4 linked regions of the Saccharomyces cerevisiae S288C genome follow. The protein of the gene in region 3 interacts with the protein of the main gene of each other region in a biochemical or structural test. Each region holds a gene or a part of one and is shown on either strand. Other genes may lie near its edges. The genes, in order: TIM50, COX4, TIM23 and PAM18.

Region 1 (3,787 bases), on a different chromosome or scaffold from region 3:
ATGACACCCAATACACTAATACTGTTGACAAATTACTAAAGCAGTTCAAGGTCTACCTGAATTCTCAGAATAAAGAAGAGATAAACAAGCATTTCCAATCCATAGAAGCGTTCTGCGATACATACAACATCACTGCTTCGAACGCAATAACAAGACTGGAGAGGGGCATACCAATTACAGCAGAACATGCGATATCCACTACCACATCGGCTCCCTCTGGTGATAATAAACAAAGTTCTTCTAGCGACAAAAAGTTTAATGCTAAATACGTCGCTGAGGCCACTGGTAATTTCATCACTGTAATGGATGCTTTGAAACTAAACTATAATGCAAAAGATCAATTACATCCCTTATTGGCTGAACTGTTAATCAGCATAAATCGCGTCACCAGGGATGATTTTGAGAATAGATCAAAACTCATTGACTGGATTGTCAGAATAAATAAACTCTCAATTGGTGACACTTTAACTGAAACACAAATTAGAGAACTTCTGTTTGATCTAGAACTAGCCTATAAAAGTTTTTATGCTTTACTGGATTAAGAAATAAACAAATAGAAATTATGATAACATATATAAGTACACAAGCGTTTCTATTTCACTTTAGAATATTCTTGTTTTTTATTCGTTCTTGAAATTTTGACAACATTGCCAAAGTTTCCCGCTCTCTTTTATCCATTGGTTCTTCCTTGATGTTTTCTTGACTTTCCGTTTCTTTAGTGGTTGCCTCATCAACATTATCATGCAACTCCGTCTTTTCCCTAATTAGTGCCTCTTGTGGCTGATCTAAGGATGCGTCTAGTTTAATTCCTTCACTGCGACTATCATCTTTGATCCATGCTGGGAGAATCATTCTCTTTCTTGGCTTAAGCTTTTGAACATCACCATCATCATCCTCTTGCTCATCTTCATAAACCATCTTTACTTTTGCTGATTTCACAAGTTTCTTTGCCGGCTCTTGTTCTTTTTTTTCATTATCTTCCAGTCTTCTTTTTGATCCAAAGATGTCCTCAAAGAATGGTATGGTAATCTCAACATCCTTCAAAACTGCAGGATACATGAATCGTTTGACATCATTGTCACGGGAGGAAGCTTCAATTTCGCCGCCCAAGATCTCTCTAAAGATGTAAATAGATTTCCCAACAATTTTGCCAAATACATTACAATCGTTCAGTACGTGCTTAGAATCCGCCAGCACAGTTATAAACCATGTGTTCCTTCGTCTATCCCATCCCAAGAGTCCATCTCTATTGAAGCGTATACGAGGATTTTTTTCCTCAGCAACTGTACGGTACTCACCAGTACTATTTGCATTAAACATTAGCCACTGTGTTGGCTTTAACTCTTTAAATTCTCCATTGGTGAATGTGCCATCTGAGAGCATAGATAAGAACCTCTTACATGTCTCAGGGCATTCTTTAGCCCATAATTCAATGGCAATGTTCCCCTTTGTTGTATACAGTATACATTTAGCTGTTGTCTGAGGTTCTATATTACTGGACATAGCATTCTTACTTTGGTTTAAAACTCATCATACATGTTTCCTGTAATACGCTTTGAATAATAAATTATTCAATAAATTATTCTCAGGACATTTTGAACCTTTTTTTCTCTTCAGACGCTTTACAGCGGAAAAGGAAAAAAAAAAAATTGGAAGTTCTTTCAGTAAAGTGAGATATATTCAGCAAACGAACATAACGTCAGGATTAATCGGAACGGTAATTTCTAGCATCCACTCAATTTCGTGATTAGCTTTTGGCGCATAACTGATTTTTTGCTTTAGCACATCACAGCTAGAATAAACTTCCAAAAATCACCCGCTTGCAATGCTGTCCATTTTAAGAAATTCGGTGAGACTAAATTCAAGGGCTCTTAGGGTTGTGCCATCTGCCGCCAACACCTTAACATCGGTTCAAGCATCCAGAAGACTTTTAACAAGTTATTCAAGTTTTTTACAAAAAGAAACAAAAGACGACAAGCCTAAATCCATTCTTACAGATGATATGCTGTTCAAGGCCGGTGTTGACGTCGATGAGAAGGGCCAAGGCAAAAACGAGGAAACATCAGGAGAAGGAGGAGAGGACAAGAATGAACCTTCTTCCAAAAGTGAAAAATCTAGAAGAAAAAGACAAACTTCTACAGATATTAAAAGAGAAAAGTATGCTAACTGGTTTTACATTTTTTCGTTGTCTGCGTTGACAGGTACTGCAATCTACATGGCAAGGGATTGGGAGCCTCAAGAGTCTGAAGAATTGAAGAAAGACATCGATAATGGCTACACTTTATCACTTATGTATAAAAGATTCAAGGCCAGGTTCAACTCAATGTTCACCTACTTCCAAGAGCCACCTTTCCCTGATTTACTACCTCCACCACCACCACCACCGTACCAAAGGCCATTAACTCTTGTTATCACATTGGAAGATTTTTTGGTTCATTCTGAGTGGTCTCAAAAGCATGGTTGGAGAACGGCCAAAAGACCTGGTGCTGACTACTTCTTGGGTTACCTATCGCAGTATTACGAAATTGTTTTGTTTTCATCCAACTATATGATGTACTCTGACAAAATCGCTGAAAAATTAGATCCAATCCATGCATTCGTATCTTATAATTTGTTCAAGGAACACTGTGTTTACAAAGACGGTGTGCACATTAAGGATCTGTCAAAATTGAATAGAGATTTGAGTAAAGTAATCATTATTGACACTGACCCTAACAGTTACAAATTGCAACCTGAAAATGCTATTCCAATGGAGCCATGGAATGGTGAAGCTGATGACAAATTAGTAAGATTGATTCCATTTTTGGAGTACCTTGCCACTCAACAAACCAAGGATGTTAGACCAATCTTGAACAGCTTTGAAGACAAGAAGAACCTAGCAGAAGAATTTGATCATCGTGTGAAAAAATTGAAGGATAAATTTTACGGAGATCATAAATCTGGTGGCAACTGGGCAATGACGGCACTAGGTCTCGGAAATTCCCTGGGCGGCAGCACCAAGTTCCCGCTCGATTTGATTCATGAAGAAGGACAAAAGAACTATTTAATGTTCATGAAGATGATTGAGGAAGAAAAGGAAAAAATTAGAATACAGCAGGAGCAAATGGGCGGGCAAACATTTACGCTGAAAGACTATGTTGAAGGTAACTTGCCTTCGCCAGAAGAACAAATGAAAATACAATTGGAGAAGCAGAAGGAGGTAGACGCCTTATTTGAAGAGGAAAAGAAAAAGAAGAAGATTGCTGAATCCAAATAATTTTCATGTAAACCCTCTTCTCATGTATCTACGTATCTATGTGTGTATGTAAATGTACCTGTACACTCCCCACACCCTCATTTTGTTACTGTCATGTGAATAAAACTTATGTATATTGCTAACTTACTACCACTGCACCTCCTAACATCACCATACTACGTACAAACACGCCTATTTATTTTTTCTATGTTAAATTTTAACGATGTAGACACACCTAATGATCTGATGCGCTTTGCATATCTCATATTCCTTCACTAGCATAAAAATCCAAAAAAAAAGAATATTTAGGCCGAATGGAATTATTCGTAACGTCATACGAAAAAAGTTTCAATTCGTACAATGCCTGGCATGTTCATTCGAATATAAGGCCGCCGCCTTCCAGTCAGGGTAGCCAAAAGTATAATCCCGGGTGGAAACTAAACTAAAAACCGTACTCACAACTTTCCGCGGACGCTAACAGACAAATAGACACACTATCAGGTCAGGAACTGCCGTCACATACGACACTGCCCCTCACGTAAGGGCATGATA
Region 2 (2,516 bases), on a different chromosome or scaffold from region 3:
GGTAGTACTGGTATTCAGTTTGGTATCCAACAACATCATCAATACGTATTCGGCAGCATTCTCCATCCAACTTTCTAGTGTGTTTTGTGCAAAAATCCCTCGCTGGTTCTGGTCTATTGTTTGTACTATAATTTGTTTGGTATGCGCATTAATAGGTCGTAATCATTTTAGTACTATTTTGGGAAATTTCCTACCAATGATAGGCTACTGGATTAGCATGTACTTTATCTTATTATTCGAAGAGAATTTAGTATTCAGAAGGTTTTTCTTACATTTGTACACCAAAGAGTTTCCTACAGTTACAGGAGAAATAAATGGACCGGAACTTGTTGGATCTTCAAAAGAAGTGGAGAAAGATGCAGTTACTAATATCCATTTGTTAAAAAGAAAACATAAGGTGACTAAACATCGTTACAATTGGGACAAATGGGAAGATTATGAGGTTTTAACGCACGGTTATGCAGCAACATTTGCGTTTATTGTAGGAGTTGCTGGTGTGGTAGTTGGTATGGCGCAAGCCTATTGGATTGGCCCAATTGCTGCCAAATTTGGTGAATATGGTGGTGATGTCGCAATGTGGTTAAGTATGGCGTTCTCAGGTGTTGTATACCCTCCTTGTAGATACTTAGAGCTACGTAAATTTGGTCGTTAATTGAAATGACATAAGTATATATTAAAACTACGGTGCAGCGGCAAACTTTAGTTTAGATAATATTGGCAGGTAGATTCATGGTATGTTAAATTACGCTCAGGGAGGATATTTTTTTGTACACATTATCTTTTCACATGAAAATCTAAGCCTGGTGGACAATTGAAATCATCGAGTGATATACTGACACTTTGAACAGTAGCACAAATCGTTTAATTTGCTGTCACGATCTAAGTTTTCTGTCAGCTGACTGTCCACCAATAAGATCAGCGGATTCCAAAGGCGTCCTTCGAAAAAGCGATATCTCCCATCTTGGTTAGTAGCAAATAAAGGGAAGAGAAAATAAGACACACTCAAGGATAAAATACTTCGCTTCTTCCAAGTATAAACACAGGAAAGAAAGATATACGAAGATTAGAATTTTTTTCATACTTTTTACAAAACATTTTTTTGTACTTAGGCACGCTAATTGCGTAAAAATTAGCATAAACAGGAAATAAGATTATTTTGAAATGTATGTTATAATCCTCTTATTGAAAAATACATGAGATGTAGGAGAAGAACTACCAGGAAAGAAGATATTTAACAGATCGAACGAAACGGAAAAGAACTAAGAGAAAACAAATCTGGATTTGACTTTAAGAAAAAATTTATTTGCAAGTTTAACTCGTTCCCTGCTTTTCTATTTGGCTTGAGACGATAATTGCATAATTGTCCAAATTGTCCATCATATAATGAAGAATTCGATGCGAAATATTCCCTGTCACTTTCCTTTAGTCAACGTATTCTTCTCCCTGAAGAAACAGTATACTAACAATACTCACCCATTTCGATTTTGATGTTGCCATACAAATAGATAACAAGCACAATGCTTTCACTACGTCAATCTATAAGATTTTTCAAGCCAGCCACAAGAACTTTGTGTAGCTCTAGATATCTGCTTCAGCAAAAACCCGTGGTGAAAACTGCCCAAAACTTAGCAGAAGTTAATGGTCCAGAAACTTTGATTGGTCCTGGTGCTAAAGAGGGTACCGTTCCAACAGACCTAGATCAAGAAACTGGTTTAGCTAGGTTAGAATTATTGGGTAAATTAGAGGGTATCGATGTTTTCGACACCAAACCATTAGATTCGTCCAGGAAGGGTACCATGAAAGATCCGATCATCATTGAATCTTATGATGATTATCGTTATGTCGGTTGTACGGGTTCTCCCGCTGGTTCACATACTATTATGTGGTTAAAACCAACTGTTAACGAAGTCGCCAGATGCTGGGAATGTGGTTCTGTTTACAAACTAAACCCTGTTGGTGTTCCAAATGATGACCACCATCACTAATCTTATCATTCAAGTTGCCCTTCTGTTTCTCTTTTACTTTTTACCTTCTTCTTTATTTATATTTTTTTTTTTGGAAACCTAGCGAATATTCTTACCAGGTCTGAGCTTTTACACACGTCATGTTAACAAAGTTCCACAAGAAAGTTCTTTGCAGGAAGGTTAAGGCGAACGCTTTGCTCTATCTATAATGAAGAGCCAAAAAATACATAACCAAAAAGATCGAGAAAAGGTCGAGATATATTTTTATTTAAAAATTCTTATTAATATTAGTACTATTCATGTCATAACTGATTACTATTTCTATCTCTGTCAGAGATGGCTAGCTAGAGGTTGTTGCGAAGTTACTTCCAAAAGATTCTAGACTGTGCTTACAGCATCCATACACCCACCCATACATACTGATTTCTTTTTTTAAAGACGTCGATTTTTCGAAAAAAGTAAATTCTCGGCACAGGGAGTTGAATTGAACTTCCCTGCCCCGACGGTAAGCAGCTTACCGGTATTGCTTCGTTCTCCTTGGGAGATGTTCTC
Region 3 (2,935 bases):
ACGGCGGCAATACCATTATTTGCTATCAGGATCTTGGATATGACCGTGTGACCACCGTGACTCTTAACAAAGTCCCTTAACGGGGACTCCTCTAGTTTATCTACTGTATTGAGGCCAATGAAATGACCTGGAAGTTCTGTATGTCTTTCTGAGTAGTTTGTAATTTCGTACTCCATCTTCTGTGGAGAAGACTCGAATAAGCTTTCTTCGCTCATGGTAGAAACTTGATTTTTTCTAATTTTCTGCGCTGTTTCGGGAACGGAAAAAAATTAAGCTAGAAGACGAATCGGTTATTATACTATTATATTTGTATAGTATAGTAGCGTGTCGTATCGTATCGTGTCGTATCGTATCGTATCGTTAAAAGAAAATACACGAATAAATAATAATATGTGGAGAAGAAAAAGGGAAGTTTCTTGTCTCTTGCTCTGAATCTGAATTCCAATTCAAGTTCAAATTGTTCTCTAGTTTATTGTCCAAAAATAAGGATGAAGCGGGAGGGAAGGGCAGAGGGAAAAGTTCGTATAGTAGAATGAATAAACTTTTATAAACACATGCACCGATCACTCACAGAGGATAAAAAAATGGCACAACAAATATATATATATAGATGCAAATGGCGATTGCAAATTAGGGAATTGGCTTTGTTGTTTTTTATCTTCAGGTAAACTGTACGAAAGGGATAAAAAGAGTAGAATAAGGAAAGGAAAATTGAAGAGAGCAGAACAATTGTAGAACCGATAACAATTGTGACAGTGATTGTGCTAGGCTATACTGTGCCAGAATACGACTGGGAGTGCTGTTCTTCTTATATATCTTGGCGCTGATTGAGCGTATAGCCTAGTTCACCAAGCAGTAGAGAGAGTGGCAATGAGCGGTTGAATTTCGACTGCGACTTGTTGGCACAACGCGCGCGCGGCCGGGCCATGTGAAGATTTTAACGGGCGCAACGATTCGGTGGGCAGTGGAAATTGTTGGGCGTTGTTCAACAAGATGAAGCATTCCCCTTTGGATAACGTCAACGCATATCGGGCCAACCTACAGGCAATGAGCGAAAGCGACTGAAGCCGAGAGATGTGCCCGGAGTTTGTTGTTCTTGTTCTTGTTCTTGTTCTTGTTCTTCTTGACGGATGATACTAGTCGCAGTCGTGGTGACTCTGGAGGGCGTAACGGCCGTGATGCGGCCTGAGCTCACTGTGACGTCGATGCATGCGCGGGTTCGTTGCGTTCAGGCCTGACGGGCGATTCCCCACCAAGTATAAGTGTCATGATATACGCGGCACCTGAGCAGCACATTAGGTCCCAATTCAACCCAACATATATAATGGTTCTGTATGGGTATTTTAAGTGTGCAAACAAAATGTGAGTTACCCGGCTGTTTGCTAGTCGCTGCGTACGAACTGGCTTGCTAAAGCTGGGTAAAAATAATTTAATCGCAAAAGGAAGAAAAGGAAATCGACGATTCATTGAAAAAAAGAGAAAATACTGAAAAAAAAAAGACACCGACAAAAAAAAGAGAGAAAGGAACCTTTACGTAGAGCAAAAGGGAAACATTTGTTGCGTTTAATTAATAGAAATAATAGGTTATTGCATTCGCCCTCCATTGCAGAAAAAAAAAAAAAAAAGACCATTTTCCTCTTCTACTCTCTTTGCCTGTACATACTACACGTTATAGCGTTAACAAAAGCAGATAGAAAAAAAAAAAATAACCAAGATAATATAGGTATACTTGTTTAACAGATCACACACAATCATGTCGTGGCTTTTTGGAGATAAGACACCTACCGATGATGCGAATGCTGCCGTGGGCGGCCAAGATACAACCAAGCCTAAGGAACTATCGTTGAAGCAGAGTTTAGGTTTCGAGCCAAACATCAATAACATAATATCAGGTCCTGGTGGAATGCATGTCGACACCGCTAGGCTGCATCCTTTGGCTGGTCTAGACAAGGGTGTGGAGTATTTAGATCTGGAAGAAGAACAACTATCCTCGTTAGAAGGCTCACAGGGTCTGATCCCTTCCCGTGGGTGGACCGATGACCTATGTTACGGTACCGGTGCCGTCTACCTGCTGGGACTTGGTATCGGAGGGTTTTCTGGTATGATGCAGGGTCTGCAGAATATTCCGCCCAATAGTCCCGGAAAATTGCAATTGAACACCGTCCTGAATCACATTACTAAGAGAGGTCCCTTCTTAGGTAATAATGCGGGGATTCTCGCGTTGAGCTACAATATCATCAATTCTACAATAGATGCACTAAGAGGCAAACATGACACCGCGGGCTCCATTGGCGCTGGGGCCCTCACGGGCGCTTTGTTCAAGTCTTCAAAAGGTTTGAAACCCATGGGTTATTCCTCGGCAATGGTGGCCGCTGCGTGCGCCGTCTGGTGTAGTGTCAAGAAAAGACTACTTGAAAAATGAGCAACACAAGAACCTACTCTCTCTCTCTCTTTCTCTCTCTCTCTCCCTCTTCGCTTTTCCCCCATGCACTGATGGCGCTTGTATATAGCATTTGAAAAATAATAGTACGTAACGCAGAAAACAAACCAATGAAAGTAGAAACCCGGAGAAAAGATCTAAAAAAACAAAAAAAAAAGATGGAAAGAGCGCATGTATGTGTAGATATGTACATATATACAACTACTTGTATGTTATTTGCCTTTTGTACTGTTAAGCTATTGTTTTCGATGGCCAATTAAAGTAAAACAAACCGCTCACTCTCGGGTATTTCCCGAAACTGTCAGAGCCGTCCCGGCCCACCGATTCGCCCGGCAAGACCTGCTTGGAAGCAGCACAAAGCCCTGCGGCCTCTGTACACCTCACGCTAAATAGCTGCTAACGATCAACACCTGACCGAGATAACAGCAGCAAAGAACCCGCAAAAAACTGCGCCGTCTAGGCCTCAACCCTTGCTTCCTACAACCAAACAATGGT
Region 4 (3,015 bases), on a different chromosome or scaffold from region 3:
ACTTACTACTCCGATTATGCGAACTGAAATGGTTTTACAGGACTCAGGAAGGGAAATTCGGTATTGATCTTCGCTGTATAGCAGAACTAGAAGAGTATCTAACATCCATGTACAATTTGAACACTTGCCAAAATTGCCACAAGCTGGCAATTCAAGGTGTCAGGTGCGGCAACGAATCATGCCGAGAAGAGAATGAGGAAACTGGAGAGAATAGTCTGTCTCAAATTTGGCATGTTGATTGTTTCAAGCATTATATTACCCATGTAAGCAAGAATTGTGATCGTTGCGGTTCATCGCTAATCACAGAGGGCGTATACGTTATTTAAACTAAAATACATAGCTTTCCGTGTTATTTACAAGACTTATCTATACAAACATTTGATTGCCCGAAGTATTTTAATCTCCTAAACGGCATGTGATTGAACACGGTTCGAGGTTTATACCACTTGTATTAGGCATATATGCAATTGCAATAACTCATTTTAGGTTCCCGTTTTACCTTATTTGCTAATACCCCTTTTTTCCAAAAAGTCCTTAGCTTCGTTTATCTTAGTGGCCAAAAATGGAGAACCACCTTTGTCAGGATGATTAGCTAACATAATTTTCCTATGAACCTCTTTCAACTTTTTTTTAGTCAATGTATTTTCTGTCAAATTCAAAATCTGTAGAGCCTCTTTAGAATTCATTTTCGGGTCAAATCCGCCTTTCAAGAAGGCAGTAGTGGATTTTCCACCGTTAAGTCCCTTCGATATTGATTTATATGCACCGGCTGTAAAATATAAAGTTAAAAAGGCCCCAAAACCTGTTATCACAGGATGTTCTCCCATGTAGTTCAAAGCTTGATCAAAATAAAGGTCCATTCCGGTCTTTTGACCCTGCGAACCATTCTGGATACCGACATTAACACCAGCTCCATCAACAGTAACGTTCGCAGAGCCATTAGTTTGACCAGGAATGGGTAGTTGTGGTGCCTCAATAGAATTACCAGTATTACTTTGAGAACTCATGATATTGTGCGGGTGGAAGTGTTTATGCAACCTTATTAAACTGTGCTCGGCCAGTGGAGACGTACAAATTCCACTACTATTCGTACTTTGTCTAGTTCAAGGGTCTCCGTCGAGTGAGTCCTACGTTGATTCAAATGGCTTTCACATTTGGTCCGATTCTCGCTCTTTAAATTTTTTGCCCGCTCGCCTCGAACTCAGCGGAGTGAAAAATTTTCACTCGTCTTTTATTAAATAATGTATTTCTAAACTCATCTCATCTCATCCCACCCTATCTCCAACTTACATCAGTTTCTATCTTGATCCGTGATATACCACTTTTAAGTTCTTCGACTTGTGATTTGAAAGATATTGCTATTCAAGCGTGAGTTGTCCATATTGTTACCACCACCTCCCCGTGATTTACATTCAGAAACTAAAAGGAAAAGGAAGTAGAAGTTTAGTAAGTATAAAAAAATGAGAATTTATCAATGCCATTTTTGCTCATCCCCATGTTATCCAGGTCATGGGATCATGTTTGTGCGTAACGATGCTAAAGAGTTTAGGTTCTGCCGTTCTAAGTGTCACAAGGCATTCAAGCAACGTCGTAACCCAAGAAAACTAAAATGGACCAAAGCTTTCAGAAAGGCTGCCGGAAAAGAATTGGCTGTGGATTCTACCTTGACTTTTGCCCAAAGAAGAAATGTCCCTGTTAGATACAATAGAGAGTTAGTTGCCACAACTTTGAAGGCTATGGCTAGAATCGAAGAAATTAGACAAAAACGTGAAAGAGCCTTCTACAAGAATAGAATGAGAGGTAACAAAGAAAAGGACTTCTTAAGAGATAAGAAATTGGTCGAATCTAACCCAGAATTATTGAGAATCAGAGAAGTTGAAATTGCCAGAAAGTTGGCTAAAGAACAAGAAAGAGCTGAATCAGTATCCGAACAAGAGGAATCTGAAGAAGAAGAGGAGGATATGGAAATCGACAGTGACGAGGAAGAGGAAGAACAATTGGAAAAGCAAAAGATTCTGCTAAAGAACAGAAGAAGAAATACAAAGAAAATTGCTTTTTAGTTAGAACAGAACCGGGCTAATTGCCTCTTTCCTTTCTTTTCTCATACTTATTTCATGGGATAAATAAGAATCACCTGTATACTATTATTTACATTACATAACATTACAATAACTATTTTCAAGGGTCCTCTTACATTCTTATCAAAGGTATTATATAATCTCAGTATATGCCAAACGTCTGACTTAGGAGTTAGAGATGTTCAGAAACTTCTCACCAAGTGGTGATTTGACAAATTCACAGAAATCACGAACGTCATTCCTGGATAGTATCTTAAAATCAATGATTTCAAAAATTGGCGGACTTTGGTGTATTCCATACCATACCCCAATGCGAACATCCAGTACCTGCCCATTTATCAATCTCAAATCATCTTTATGGGCTGAAAATAATCTTTCGCTCATATACAAACGCATCTCCTCTGCGCCATTTGTTGAATTGAGGCAATGAAGATTTCTAACTATCATTTGACAGAAAAAACCTTTAATGAATTCTTCATCCGATTTACAGAACAAGAAATCTACTAATCGAACAACAATCCTGAATCTTTTGGACGGATGAATAATGTTTGGTTCCATTCCGTTTCCACCGTAAACATTGTTATGAATATCGTAATTCGTTGCTATTTTATCCTTCAAACATTTTAAGTCTAGAACTAACTGGCTCATATAACACTGTCGTAGTTCTCTAAAAAGAGCAAATAGAGCTGTATGTAACCAATACAATATAGTGAATTATGTCCTAGAATAAGGGCATTCATTATTCTCCATCTCTGCTTCAGAGAAAAAAAAAAGAAAAAGAAAAAATAACGACAACTGCAGGACTCGAACCTGCGCGGGCAAAGCCCAAAAGATTTCTAATCTTTCGCCTTAACCACTCGGCCAAGTTGCCATATGACTATTGATTTATATCATATTACGAGCCCAAATAATACTGGGGTGTTTTGACAATCCTAAT

Evidence for each region.
Region 1: the proteins of TIM23 (region 3) and TIM50 form a complex in vitro, tested with the Saccharomyces cerevisiae proteins (12 studies listed by BioGRID).
Region 2: the proteins of TIM23 (region 3) and COX4 are reported together in a solved structure, tested with the Saccharomyces cerevisiae proteins (2 studies listed by BioGRID, with this or other methods).
Region 4: the proteins of TIM23 (region 3) and PAM18 form a complex in vitro, tested with the Saccharomyces cerevisiae proteins (4 studies listed by BioGRID).

The regions. Positions count from the first base shown.
Region 1 is NC_001148.4:428,114-431,900, forward strand, and holds TIM50 (protein translocase subunit TIM50), read left to right. Parts: upstream 1-1,825; coding exon 1,826-3,256; downstream 3,257-3,787. Other genes in the region: ESCRT-I subunit protein VPS28, read left to right, coding at 1-542; putative peptidylprolyl isomerase CWC27, read right to left, coding at 598-1,503; YPL062W (uncharacterized protein), read left to right, coding at 3,782-3,787.
Region 2 is NC_001139.9:149,173-151,688, reverse strand, and holds COX4 (cytochrome c oxidase subunit IV), read left to right. Parts: upstream 1-1,517; coding exon 1,518-1,985; downstream 1,986-2,516. Other genes in the region: TPN1 (Tpn1p), read left to right, coding at 1-652. UniProt on the Saccharomyces cerevisiae protein: Component of the cytochrome c oxidase, the last enzyme in the mitochondrial electron transport chain which drives oxidative phosphorylation.
Region 3 is NC_001146.8:661,160-664,094, forward strand, and holds TIM23 (protein transporter TIM23), read left to right. Parts: upstream 1-1,753; coding exon 1,754-2,422; downstream 2,423-2,935. Other genes in the region: acetyl-CoA carboxylase ACC1, read right to left, coding at 1-215. UniProt on the Saccharomyces cerevisiae protein: Essential component of the TIM23 complex, a complex that mediates the translocation of transit peptide-containing proteins across the mitochondrial inner membrane.
Region 4 is NC_001144.5:165,077-168,091, forward strand, and holds PAM18 (Pam18p), read right to left. Parts: upstream 1,008-3,015; coding exon 501-1,007; downstream 1-500. Other genes in the region: Smc5-Smc6 complex subunit NSE1, read left to right, coding at 1-326; RLP24 (ATPase-activating ribosome biosynthesis protein), read left to right, coding at 1,461-2,060; TEN1 (Ten1p), read right to left, coding at 2,244-2,726. UniProt on the Saccharomyces cerevisiae protein: Essential component of the PAM complex, a complex required for the translocation of transit peptide-containing proteins from the inner membrane into the mitochondrial matrix in an ATP-dependent manner.